Linked DNA regions of Macaca mulatta. The protein of the gene in region 3 purifies or fractionates together with the protein of the main gene of each other region. This does not show direct contact. Links are inferred from orthologs where the notes say so. Each region holds a gene or a part of one and is shown on either strand. Other genes may lie near its edges.

Region 1 (4,336 bases), on a different chromosome or scaffold from region 3:
TTCTTATTACTGGCTGCTCAACTGGACAGCAAGTCACTTGATTTTCTGAGGTGTGAGAGAGCTGTTTTTTTTTTTTTTTTTTCTTAAATTGAGACAGGGTCTGGCTCTGTTGCCCAGGCTGGAGGGCAGTGGTATAGTCATAGTTCACAGTAACCTTGAAACCTGGGCTTAAGCCATTCTACTGCAGACTCCTGAGTAGCTGGGACTACAGGCATGCGTCACCACATCTGGCTAATTTTTTATTTTTTGTAGAGATGAAGTCTCAGTATGTTGCCCATGCTGGTTTTGGATTTCTGGCCTCAAGTGATCCTCCCACCTTGGCCTTCCAAAGTGCTGGGAATACAGGTGTGAGCCACCACGTTTGGCCGAGAGATCTAGTTTTGTTAATGCTTGAATCAATCCATTCCTCCTACAGGCCCGCCAAGCTGCTCCATGTGTGCTGTTCTTTGATGAGCTGGATTCAATTGCCAAGGCTCGTGGAGGTAACATTGGAGATGGTGGTGGGGCTGCTGACCGAGTCATCAACCAGATCCTGACAGAAATGGATGGCATGTCCACAAAAAAAAATGTGTTCATCATTGGCGCTACCAACCGGCCTGACATCATTGATCCTGCCATCCTCAGACCTGGCCGTCTTGATCAGCTCATCTACATCCCACTTCCTGATGAGAAGTCACGTGTTGCCATCCTCAAGGCTAACCTGCGCAAGTCCCCAGTTGCCAAGGCAGGTGCAGGATCATGGGCTGTGGGAGACTTGTATGAGTCCTCAGTCTGGTATAGAGTGCTCTTTGGGTTCTGGACAAGATTGCTTTGGGGTTAGGGTTGGTCTAAAGGGAAGGTAGAATTTTTGAGGGTATTAAGATAATCTAGAATCAGGAATAAAATGGGGTGGCCAAAGAAGGGGCAAACTAGTTGGGAGTGCTTGGATGGCCCAAAGATCTGTGTATCTCAAGAGAGAAGAGGCTAAATGCTAAGGTAGCTCTGCTGCTTCTTTTAGGATGTGGACTTGGAGTTCCTGGCTAAAATGACTAATGGCTTCTCTGGAGCTGACCTTACAGAGATTTGCCAGCGTGCTTGCAAGCTGGCCATCCGTGAATCCATCGAAAGTGAGATTAGGCGAGAACGAGAGAGGCAGACAAACCCATCAGCCATGGTGAGTCTGTATCCTTTCCCCAGATGTGCCAGTCATGGGGAGCCAGGCAGCAGCCACCACCATGCCCTAGAGTTGAGAGTAGAAGTTGTTGAAAAGATCATCTGAGAAGAATGTTAATAGGGCATCAAAGATAAAGAATACTGAGGTGAATCCATTCAATTTGGAATAAGGCCGAGAAGAGATGGGCAGGCTCCATTCTCAGTCTAAACCAAGCTCCATGAGGGAAATCAAAGTATGAGAGTGCACCAAACAGAGCAAGGTTTTTGTTCTTGTTTTTGTTTTTTTTGAGACGAAGTCTTGCTCTGTTGCCCAGACCGAAGTGCAGTGGCGCGATCTCGGCTCACTGCAACCTCCGCCTCCCAGGTGCAAGCCATTCTCCTGCCTCAGCCTCCCGAGTAGCTGGGACTACAGGTGCATGCCACCACGCCCGGCTAGTTTTTTGTATTTTTTTTTAGTAGAGACGGGGTTTCACCGTGTTAGCCAGGATGGTCTCGATCTTCTGACCTTGTGATCCGCCCGCCTTGGGCTTTCAAAGTCCTGGGATTACAGGCGTGAGCTGCAGAGCAAGGTTTTGAACTGAGATGAGACCCATATACCTGTCCCTGATGGTTGGGGAAGGGATGGGGTCCACAGTCCTCCCAAAATGAAAAGACAAATTCATGTGTGTGTAAGCTCCATAAAGGTAGGATCTCTGTCATCTCACTTGTTTTCCACTATGTCCTGTGTTACCCTTAATTAATTCATTAAGTTCCAAACATGGGACTTAATGAATGAGCAAATAAATGGCTTTCTTTCTGTTTTGAAGGGTCTGTGACCTTCTCTCTCCCATAAAAGCTTAAAACTACTTATGAACTAATCCTAGGAAGCAGTCTCATAAGTCACAGCAATTGGCCTCTCAATGGAAGAGATAGGTTTTGAGCTGGGCTGTGAAGAGAGTATAATTTGAATAAAGGGAATAAGCAGCCCAAATAATGTGCTCTAGTAGTAGGATTGCAATCATTGGGAAACCCTGAGTATATTTTAGAGTATATATGTCACTGAAAGTGAGACCACTGGGTAGGATGTAATCCAAATGTGGTAAACACTGAAAACTATTGGCATTTTAAAGTATTAAGCCCTAGTGATCTGTGTTTACCAACTATAGGAGGTAGAAGAGGATGATCCAGTGCCTGAGATCCGTCGAGATCACTTTGAAGAAGCCATGCGCTTTGCGCGCCGTTCTGTCAGTGACAATGACATTCGGAAGTACGAGATGTTCGCCCAGACCCTTCAGCAGAGTCGGGGCTTTGGCAGCTTCAGGTAACTTGGTTGGGAGCCTTAGACAGTGCTTAAGTTACTTTGGGAACCTACACCAAAAAGGGAATGGGAGTCCTAAGGAAGCTAGAGGGGTAGTTGTGGAAATCTTACACAGGCTCTGTCCTAACCGTCTTTTTTGGCTTTGCTCTCGTACACAGATTCCCTTCAGGGAACCAGGGTGGAGCTGGCCCCAGTCAGGGCAGTGGAGGCGGCACAGGTGGCAGTGTATACACAGAAGACAATGACGATGACCTGTATGGCTAAGTGGTGGTGGCCAGCATGCAGTGAGCTGGCCTGCCCGGACCTTGTTCCCTGGGGGTGGGGGCGCTTGCCCAGGAGAGGGACCAGGGGTGCGCCCACAGCCTGCTCCATTCTTCAGTCTGAACAGTTCAGCTACAGTCTGACTCTGGACAGGGGGTTTCTGTTGCAAAAATACAAAACAAAAGCGAAAAAATAAAAGCGATTTTCATTTGGTAGGTGGAGAGTGAATTACCAACAGGGAATTGGGCCTTGGGCCTATGCCATTTCTGTTGTAGTTTGGGGCAGTGCAGGGGACCTGTGTGGGGTGTGAACCAAGGCACTACTGCCACCTGCCACAGTAAAGCATCTGCACTTGACTCAATGCTGCCCGAGCCCTCCCTTCCCCCTATCCAACCTGGGTAGGTGGGTAGGGGCCACAGTTGCTGGGTGTTTATATAGAGAGTAGGTTGATTTATTTTACATGCTTTTGAGTTAATGTTGGAAAACTAATCACAAGCAGTTTCTAAACCAAAAAATGACATGTTGTAAAAGGACAATAAACGTTGGGTCAAAATGGAGCCTGAGTCCTGGGCCCTGTGCCTGCTTCTTTTCCTGGGAAGAGCTTTGGGCTACCCACCACTCCCAAGGCATTCTTCCAAATGTGAAATCCTGGAAGTAAGATTGCACCTTCTTCCTTTCCTGATCAACATCAGTATGATGTCTCCTGTTGCCTCACCCTGTGTGTGCAGTATCACTGGATAGGACTGGTGGAAAGGGAGCAGCCTGACAGAGCTCCAAATGTGGAGAATATGGCATCCCTCCACCTATATTTGATGTGAACGGTAAGGCTAGGCCTGCAGAATCCCTTATCCTGACCAAAGACTGTGTTTAGGAGCCATTTGAAAATCATAGGGTTGCAAAAAAATACAATCTTATTTGCAGGTGGATATTCTCTATACTCCCTTTTAATGCATCTAAAAATCCCAAACATCCCCTGGTTGGTGATCACTTAGCGTTGTGCCCACCTTTATTTTATGTACTTTGTTTGATTTAAAAAAAAAAAGCTTTTTGTTAATATAAGATTTTAGTATTGAATTTTTTTTTCCAAACAGAAAATAGACTGTCCTCTTCAATCACTTAGTGCTTCTGGGGTCAGTACAATGATGCCTCACCCAGAGAGAGAGTAGTGCAGAGAAAATAAATTACTAAATATATGTTGATTGGGTTTGGGACATAAAAGACAGTCCTGAACACCATAATTTTGAATAAAATACTGTAGTCTCCAAAGATCAAAATCCCTAAAGTCTAAAATTCTGAAAATCACAATCCCAAAAGGTCAAAATCCCAAAATACAATTCTGGAAGAAATGCTAAACATTCTTCAAAAATTTACTTACATTTAAAAAAGCATATTTATTTGAGAAACAACACGACAGAACATTTCATAGGCTACTTTACACGATAAAATAGGGAATAGTAACGTTTTTGCAAGGTAAACACTCAGGTATACCAACAACAGTTGCACAGATATAATGGTGATGAGCAGATGAAACATATTCATAAAGAAATAGGTCAGAAAGTGAAATGTATAAATGCTTGTCACTATGCTTGGTAATTGTGGGCATCTAGCTTTATAACTGTGGTCAAC
Region 2 (4,789 bases), on a different chromosome or scaffold from region 3:
TATGCCAAACCCTATGTTCCTAAAGAATTTACCAAGTTTGAGTTCTTCACTTGATGATACTTTCACAGGAAGCGGTATCAGCTGGTCAAGTGTTCCACCGTTTCCCAGTTGTCCGTCTTTTCCAGAACCAAAGGAAAAGACCTTTCCGAAATCAGAAACATAGGCAAGCGTGTGCCACCTATTAAATAAAAGCACATATGGTCAATCCTTAATTATCCACAATGATGAGAGTGTTTAGCAATACAGTAAATTGCCAAAACTATGTTACCCAGTGAAAGTGAAACTAAACATCTCCTAAAGGATGAAAACCATCTGGAAACCAAGAAATCAACATGTACCTGAAAAGACTGTGGAACCCAAAGGCCACTCAAGACCATGATGTCATACTTTGGCGAATGGTGTTCCCTTTGTTGGAACAAGCACCTCCCCTTGCCCTCTGCTCATTTTTCAACTTCAGTTTGAGTCACCGTCACTTGGAAACCATCTGAGTCCCTTCTCTTCCCATCCTGGAAGACTCAGTTGAGTTCCCATTTAATTTCTCAAAGACCTTTACCACACTGATTTCCTATTTTGCTTGTTTGTATCTCCACTATACTGTTGTGTAGCAAGGAATCTGCCTTGCCCAGAGAGGTCTGGCTGGTGCCCAGTTCCTGGGAGGTAACCTCTAAACCCACAGAATTTCCCAAGCCCTCAGACCTACAGGAGGGCAGAGCTGGAGATTAAGTTCAACTACCTGGCAATGATTTAACCAATCATGCCTCAGCAATAAAATCCCAATAGAAATCCTCAATCTAGGCTGGGTGTGGTGGCTCATGCCTGTAATCCTAGCACTTTGGGAGGCCAAGGCAGTAGGATACTTTGCGCCCAGAAGTTTAAGACCAGCCTGGTCAATATAAGGAGACCCTATCTCTACAACAAATTTAAAAATTAGTTGGACACGGTGGCACACACCTGTGGTCCCAGCTACTCAGGAGGCTGAGGCAGGAGGACTGCTTGAGCCTGGGAGGTCAAGGCTGCAGTAAGCCATGATAGCACCACTGCAGTCCAGCCTGGGTGACAGAGTGAGACCTTGTCTCAAAACAAACAAACAAACAAACAAACAAAAAACAACTCTTGACTTAGGTGAACTTCTGTGACTGAATGGCAAATTATGTACATCCTGTACTGTCTCCAAAAAAAAAAAAAAAAAAAAACCAGAAAAAACAAAAACAACTCTCAACTTGGGTGAGTAAATTTCTCTGATTGGTTGGCAAATTCTGTATGTCCTGTCACATTATCAGGCCAGAAGAGATAACACCATCCATCTCCTCCAAGGGGAGATGACAGCCACAAGCTCAGCATTTGGAGCCCTCCTAGACCCTACCCTTATGTTTCTTCCTTTCACTGGTACTAATTTGTATCCTCTTCTTGGAATAAATGTGACTATGAGTATAATAGCTTTCAGTAAGTTCCCGAGTCTTTCCAGTGAATTGTCCTGTTAGTAGGGGTATTGCCCTGATGTGCATTAAGACAGATCTCCAACTTGCCTCCTTCTCTTGTAACACATGCTACTCAAAAGGATTGTATGTAATGAAGAATCCAAAGAGGTAATAAGACTGCTTTGGTTAAGAGATACTGAATGAGGTATCAATATTGAAGAGATGTTTGTTTGGTGAACAGACTCATATTCCGATAATTTGGTCTACCTTAATATTACCCATCTATGTAATTCTACTCCAAGATTATAAGAAAATCAGACTGAAAGTATGCATGTTAGTTTTTTACAAGAATGGTTTCAGTAAACTAACAAATGAACCCAACATTCAAATACAGTCTGAATTTTGCTCTATGTTTAGTGAGGGAAAAACTGCCCAAAAGAGTAGTGTATACGGGGGAGAATTTTTTTTTAACCCCATCAACTCCCAATATCCCCCTGGCAAGACGTGCACTGATATATCTGATGACCAAAAAATTAAATAGTGGCATGGTGGCTCACCCCTGTAATCCCAACACTCTGGGAGGTCAAGGCAGGCAGATCACCTGAGGTCAGGAGTTCAAGACTAGCCTGGCCAACATGGTGAAACCCCGTCTCTACTAAAAACACAAAAATTAGCCAGTTGTGGCCGGGCACGGTGGCTCACGCCTGTAATCCCAGCACTTTGGGAGGCCGAGGCAGGTGGATCACAAGGTCAGGAGACAGAGACCACCCTGGCTAACACGTTGAAACCCCGTCTCTCCTAAAAATACAAAAAATTAGCCAGGCATAGTGGCAGGCACCTGTAGTCCCAGCTACTCAGGAGGCTGAGGCAGGAGAATGGTGTGAACCTGGGAGGCGGAGCTTGCAGTGAGCCGAGATTGTGCCACCGCACTCCAGCCTGTGCGATGGAGCGAGACTCCGTCTCAAAAAAAAAAAAAAAAAAAAATTAGCCGGTTGTGGCAGTGCACGTCTGTAATCCTAGCTACTCCAGAGGCTGAGGTGGGAGAATCACCTGAGCCTGGGAGGTGGAGGTTGCAGTGAGCTGAGCTTACATCACTGCACTTCAGCCTGGGCGACAGAGCAATATTCCACCTCAAAAACAAAACAAAACAAAACAAAACAAAAACCTTTAAATAAACCAAGGAGTCTGAGCAAGACATTTTACCTTTATTTTCTAAAAAAGAGCTGTGAAAATTAAACTTTTCAGGAATATTTCACTCAAACCATCACTGACTATGTCTTATACTTTACCATGATCAGCGCAGGCTACAGTGAAAGAACTCTGGTAATTAAAAAGTATGCTGGCCGCAAGGCATTGTGAGAGAGGGTGATTACATTAATGAATAATCCTTTGTGATTCGCACTTTACTTTTCCCAAATAAACAATGACTTATTTTTCTTAAAGACAAAAGTGCACCTGAATAGTTACAAACGTATTTTCACTAAGGAGACAGCAGAAAGTGAACTGCATCTGCTCATTAAAAACAACAACAAAGAAAACAACCATGTATAGTAAAAGGGGTATTACGTTTATCTAAATAATATAAATTAAGCATTTTCACTGATTTGAAAATGTATGATACTTAAATCTCAAAGAAACTGATAGAAATTTTATTAAATTACTATCTAGTTTACTGTATTCATTTTATCAATTTTCATTGATACTTTACAACTTACCTTCCACATGCTATCTGAGTCACTCTATTTCCAACAAGCTCAGCCACCAAACAGGGTCTTAGCTCATTCTGTGTTGAATTATGACCAAGTTGCCCATGTTTTCCAGCACCAAAAGTAAACAGCAGTCCATCCTAAGGAAAGGGAATGTCATATCAGATGCTAGAGAAATAAAATAAAAAAGTAGTATTCACTGATGCAAAGTGAATAACTAATAAAAAGCACTGTCAAAGTAAAGTTCCTAAATATCAGAAGGACAGTCCTACATGTAGGAAGTGATGACCTTTCTTCCCTGGGAAACACTAGCTTCCCATACAAAATGTTCTTCTAAAAATACAGCCAAAAAGAGACAAGGGTACACCCACCTGTGTGAGCAGGGCACTGTGAGAGCCACCACAAGCGAGAAATTCAACTTTCTGATTGTCTAGTGCTTCAATAAGGGAAGGAGAATCTTTACCTATGTAAGGAAAAAAATAGCTGAAGTGACCAAAAGGAAATGCTGAGTTTCACCCTGCAGTTACCTGGACTGCTGCTTCTCAACCCAGCAACAACAGTTCTCGTGATATTCTGACAAGAAAGGCTCTATGTTGCCATGTTTAGGATCAAGTTCTATACCTCAGGGTGAAGGTGGGACCAGTGGCCAAAAGGGTCACACTTAGGGGCACCCACCTGTGAAAGGGTCAAACCACGTCCTAAAGCCTGTTCTCAATTCTGACTTCATTCACTTTAATTGCAGCACATTAGATATTTCCAATACCCATCTAGAATTACTTTTAATGAACATAGCAATTCCTCTTTTTTTTTTTTTTTTTTGAGACGGAGTCTCGCTCTGTCGCCCAGGCTGGAGTGCAGTGGCCTGATCTCAGCTCACTGCAAGCTCCGCCTCCCGGGTTCACGCCATTCTCCTGCCTCAGCCTCCCGAGTAGCTGGGACCACAGGCGCCCGCCAGCTCGCCCGGCTAGTTTTTTGTATTTTTTAGTAGAGACGGGGTTTCACTGTGTTAGCCAGGATGGTCTCGATCTCCTGACCTTGTGATCCACCCGTCTCGGCCTCCCAAAGTGCTGGGATTACAGGCTTGAGCCACCGCGCCCGGCCCTCCTTTTTCTTTCAAATTATCTACTAGTGTCATCACCTCACACTACCTCTTCTTTTCTTCATGATTATTTTCATGTCAAAGCACTCAGAGATTCAGCCAAAGTAGTTTAACGGCTGCTTTATTCTCTTCTCTCCTTTGAATATTTTTCTAACACTGACTTATTGGCTATTCTGTGTAATGAGCATTGCACTGTGTCAGAGAGAAATGAGTAACCAGTGATCCAGGGAAATGCATACAGTACCACAGCTGGGTAAAGGAGCAGAATTTCTTACACCTGAAAACTCTAAATGAGTTTTTTGGGATCATGAGAAATTTTACCATCAGCTTTGTTCAATAATGGAAATTACATGTTTCTTCATGTGTGTTTTTGTGTGTTTACAGACATAATTGATACCTTACAGAATAAGATCAGGATATGTGATTTCTTAAATATAATTTTAGTTTTCTTTTGTAATAATACACTAGCAGACTTTAAGTGCAAAGGCTTTAAAGGTCATCTCATACAAACTTGTCATTTTATAGAAAAAGAAAATGAGGTTTAGAGAAAATTTAGTGACTGGGCA
Region 3 (4,141 bases):
CGGGGGTGAGGTGGGGACCCAGACACAAGGCTGGAGCCAGGACAGCCCCTGCTGGGCACACAGTGGTCCTGGTGCAGCCAGACTGGGATCTCCCCACCTGGATAGGGACCCCCACAGATGAGGGGGGACTCTGCGTCTCCAGCTGGATCCTCCAGAGGGCTCTGAAAGCTGAGGTCCAAGTGCCCAGAGTCTGGACTCTGCGTGTCCCTCCATGCCCCATCCTCGCTGCGTCCTGGCCAACAGTTGGCTTCTGGGAGGCTCATTTAGCAAATTGGAGTAGGAGAGCTAGAGAAGGGTGCACCGTTGGGGGACGGGTGTAGCTTGTACTGAATTGGGTGCCCCCAACCTGGGACAAGCTCTTCTTCCTGGATGGTGTCAGCCTCAACTCCAGGCGCCCCCACTGCTGGCCACGGCCCCTCATTCACGCAGAGCCTTGAGGGGATGTGCTTAGCCACCCAGGCTGTCTTCTACAGCTGGCCCCAGTGGTGATGTGAGCACTCAGGACCTGTCTCTATCCCTCCCTCGCCCAGCCCAGGCAGGTGGAGCAGGCTGTGCAGGCTGGGCTAGGGACAGCTGAGGCCCCCGGCCCCCAGTTCCTGTGGAGAGCCTGCCTCACAGCCCACTGGGCAGGCCCCAAGGACTCACCCCGCACAGCTTCCAGGGGCCCACTGGGAGCCTCCCCCGTAGCCTTTTGATTTGAGCAGGCTGGTCCCTGCCTAAGCTGTCTGCTGTCCCAGATGGAGGATGGGCAGGATGGGCTCCAGCAACTGTGTCTCTTTTTCTTTCCCTAGAAGTTAATTTCCCAAAGGGTGGGGAGAGCTGTCTTACTTCAGTTTGGTAGGGAGGAAGCTCCGTATTTTGATCCCTCGAGGCTGTAACTGCAAACCCTTATCCTTTCACTTGGCAACCAGGCCTGGTCACCAGGATGGACCCTGGGATCTCCCTCCTGACTCCTCCCGCCACTTCACTAGGGGTCTGAGGCGGACGCTGGAGGAGGGTCACGTGCAGACACAGAGGCAGCCATTTCTCTTTACAACATTTATTTCCAGCCCTTGATCTTGCTCGAATGCTGGTGGAGGCCCTTAGCTCTGCCCGCCAGGCTCTGTGCCGCCTCCCCGCAGGCGCAGATTCATGAACACGGTGCTCAGGGGCTTGAGGCCGTACTCCCCCAGCGGGAGCTGATTCTCCAGGGGCTTCCCCTCGAAGGTCAGCCAGAACAGGTCGTCCTGCACACCCTCCTGCCGGCTCACTTGCTGCTTCAGGTGGGCCACAGTCTGCGTCAGCTGTACCTCGTAGGTGCTGCTCCGGCCCTTGTCGTTCCTCACCAGGATGCTCAGAGGTTCATCGCACTTGTCCACCACCAGCAGGACCGTGCTGCCGGGGCCCAGGCCCTGGTTGGCAAGGGGAACCCTGTCCTGCAGGGTGGCGCCGCTGGGGTGGACAGCCAGACGCTGCTGGAAGGCATGCACGCCGATCTTCTGGGCGATCTTTGCCTTCAGCTCTGACACCGACATGGAGTTGCTCAGGGACACCTGGAACTCGTTGCCCCCCAGCATCTTCACCTTCAGGTCCCAGCTCTGCAGACATTACACAGGCTCAGAGGCTGCCGCACCAGTCCCAGGCCCACGACACACAAGGCCCTGGCTGCTGGGCGAGCTCCTGTGCCCAGGGACAGTGCTTCCTCCTGTTTGTCCTCTACATCCCATCAGCAGGGACCCCAGGCACAGAAGGCACTGAGGGGTCATTACTAGAAGGCCAGCTGCCCACAGCCATCCGTGGCCTCCCTTTACCTGCTAGGGTGCCCCTCTGTGCCCACCCTGAGGATCTCAGGGGTGACCTGCTTTCAGGAGCACACTTAGAACCTGGCCGAGCTCTAAGCAGCTCTGCTCTCCCTGCAACCCTGGGAGACCTTGGCTGGGGGAGGGAGCTGAAAATTGACTGGCACAGAGGCCTGCCCCCCCCCGAGCCCCCACCTGTGACATCTCCCTTACCATGGCTGTGGGCTGTGGGCCACGGGCTGGGGGAGACAAAAATTGATTGGCACAGAGGCCCCCCCCACCCAACACACACACACCTGTGACATCTCCCTTACCATGGCTGTGGGCTGTGGGACGCGGCACGAGCTCCTGTACTGGCAAAGATGAGTTCACTGCCTCTCAACTGCCGGCTCCTGCAGGCAGCAGCCAGCCCTGTTATAAGCCTGAGCCACACACGTCAGGGGGCGTGGCCGCGCGAGCCTGCTCCGGTGGCCAAGTTTCGGTTTCCTTTTCCCAAGGCATGCCCCAGAGTGAGCAGAAGAAACAAAACAGAATGGCCGAAAGACGGGGAAAAGCAGAAGGGGGTGGGCAGGGTCTCAAAGGCACTGTCAGGGCCGGGGACTCAGGACGGCGGACGGCATCCCCACCCCCACCCAACACCCTGGAAACACCTAAATATCGAGCATTCCAGGTCCTTCACAAGATGCACTAAAGCTGGTTGAATGCCGTGGCTCACTCCTGTAATCCCAGCACTTTGGGAGGCCGAGGTGGGCAGATCACCTGAGGTCGGGAGTTTGAGAGCAGCCTGACCCACACAGAGAAACCCCGTCTCTACTAAAAATACAAAATTAGCCAGGTTTGGTGGCGCATGCCTGTAATCCCAGCTACTTGGGAAGGTTGAGGCAGGAGAATCGCTTGAACCTGGGAGGTGGAGGTTGCGGTGAGCCGAGATCGCGCCATTGCGCTCCAGCCTGGGCAACAAGAGTGAAACTGTTAAAAAAAAAAAAAAAAAAAAAAGCGCTAAAGCCTTCACATGAACTAATGGTTTCATTTTCCATTTACCAACTTGCAAACAGTAAACATGGAAAACACCTCTATGGTTAATTCAGAAACAAAACCTCCAAACTCCCCAGAGATGACAACACTTGGTTTAGGGCAGTATTTGCCCAGGTTTGGTGTTTTTTGTTGTTTTTGTTTTTTTGAGACAGGGTCTCACTCTGTCGCCCAGGCTGGAGTGCAGAGGTGCAATCCCAGCTCACCGCAGCCTCCACCTCCCTGGCTAAAGGGATCCCCTCACGTCAGCCTCCCACGTAGCTGGGACCACAGGGGTCCGGCTACTTTTTTGTATTTTTAGTAGAGATTGGGGTCTCGCCATGTTGCCCAGGCTGGTCTCGAACTCCTGGGCTCAAGTGATCCACCTGCCTCGGCCTCTGCAAGTGCTGGGATTACAGGTGTAAGCCACTGCGCCCGGGCCTCAGATTGTTTTTTAATAAAAGAGACCTATCTTGTATTTTCTACAAAAATGAACTCTGGGACACTACTGAGAAAGTGAAAAGACAATCCACGGAATGGGAAGAAATATTTGCAAATTATCTATCTGATGAGGGCACAGCATCCAGGACATATAGAGAACTCCTACAACTCAATTAAAAAAAAAAAAAAGGCAACTCAATTTTCAAATGGCCAAAAGACTTCAATAGACATTTCTCCAATGACATAGCAACGGCTGTAAAGCGATGCTCAACATCATGATTTGGGGAAATGCAAATCAAAACCCCAGTGAGATGCTATTTCCTACTAGTATGACTGCAATAATAAAAATAAAGGACAGGTCGGGCACGGTGGCTCATGCCTGTAATCCCAGCACTTTGGGAGGCTGAGGCGGGCAGATCACCTAAGGTCAGGAGTTCAAGACCAGCCTGGCCAACATTTTTAGTAGAAACCCCACCTATACTAAAAATACAAAAATTAGCCGGGCGTGGTAGCACACACCTGTAATCCCAGCTACTTGGGAGACTGAGGCGGGAGAATCCCTTGAACCCAGGAGGCAGCGATTGTAGTGAGCCAAGATTGTGCCAATGCACTCCAGCCTGGGCAAGACAGTCTCAAAAAATAATATAAAATAAACATAAAGGACAGTAACAAGCATTGGAGAATACACACAGAAGTTGGAGTGAGTCCTGGTACGTGCATTGCTGTTGAGAATGTAAACCGTGTGGCCACTGTGACGCTCAAAACGTCAAACAGAATTATCGGTAACCCAATAATTCCACTCCTAGGCATGTGTGCAAAAGAATTGAGAATAGGTGTTCAAATATTTGTATACAAATGTTCATGGCAGCACAGTTTACAATAAACAAGTAGTGGAAACGGAGCACATGTCC

What was found.
Region 1: the proteins of ISG15 (region 3) and VCP purify together in Homo sapiens (affinity purification with mass spectrometry, with the first as the bait; 3 studies listed by BioGRID). This does not show direct contact. The link is inferred for Macaca mulatta from reciprocal best matches to the Homo sapiens genes ISG15 and VCP.
Region 2: the proteins of ISG15 (region 3) and HERC5 purify together in Homo sapiens (affinity purification with western blotting; 3 studies listed by BioGRID, with this or other methods). This does not show direct contact. The link is inferred for Macaca mulatta from reciprocal best matches to the Homo sapiens genes ISG15 and HERC5.

What each region holds. Positions count from the first base shown.
Region 1 is NC_133420.1:64,668,375-64,672,710, forward strand, and holds the end of VCP (transitional endoplasmic reticulum ATPase), read left to right. Parts: intron 1-415; coding exon 416-724; exon of another isoform or gene 725-781; intron 782-912; exon of another isoform or gene 913-997; coding exon 998-1,153; exon of another isoform or gene 1,154-1,231; intron 1,232-2,274; exon of another isoform or gene 2,275-2,297; coding exon 2,298-2,452; intron 2,453-2,607; coding exon 2,608-2,713; 3' UTR 2,714-3,267; downstream 3,268-4,336. UniProt on the Homo sapiens protein: Necessary for the fragmentation of Golgi stacks during mitosis and for their reassembly after mitosis. Involved in the formation of the transitional endoplasmic reticulum (tER).
Region 2 is NC_133410.1:97,783,685-97,788,473, reverse strand, and holds part of HERC5 (E3 ISG15--protein ligase HERC5), read right to left. Parts: intron 3,588-4,789; coding exon 3,496-3,587; intron 3,265-3,495; coding exon 3,134-3,264; intron 179-3,133; coding exon 33-178; intron 1-32.
Region 3 is NC_133406.1:239,667,354-239,671,494, forward strand, and holds ISG15 (ubiquitin-like protein ISG15), read right to left. Parts: upstream 2,182-4,141; 5' UTR 2,096-2,181; coding exon 2,093-2,095; exon of another isoform or gene 1,995-2,092; coding exon of another isoform or gene 1,992-1,994; intron 1,578-1,991; coding exon 1,083-1,577; 3' UTR 1,026-1,082; downstream 1-1,025.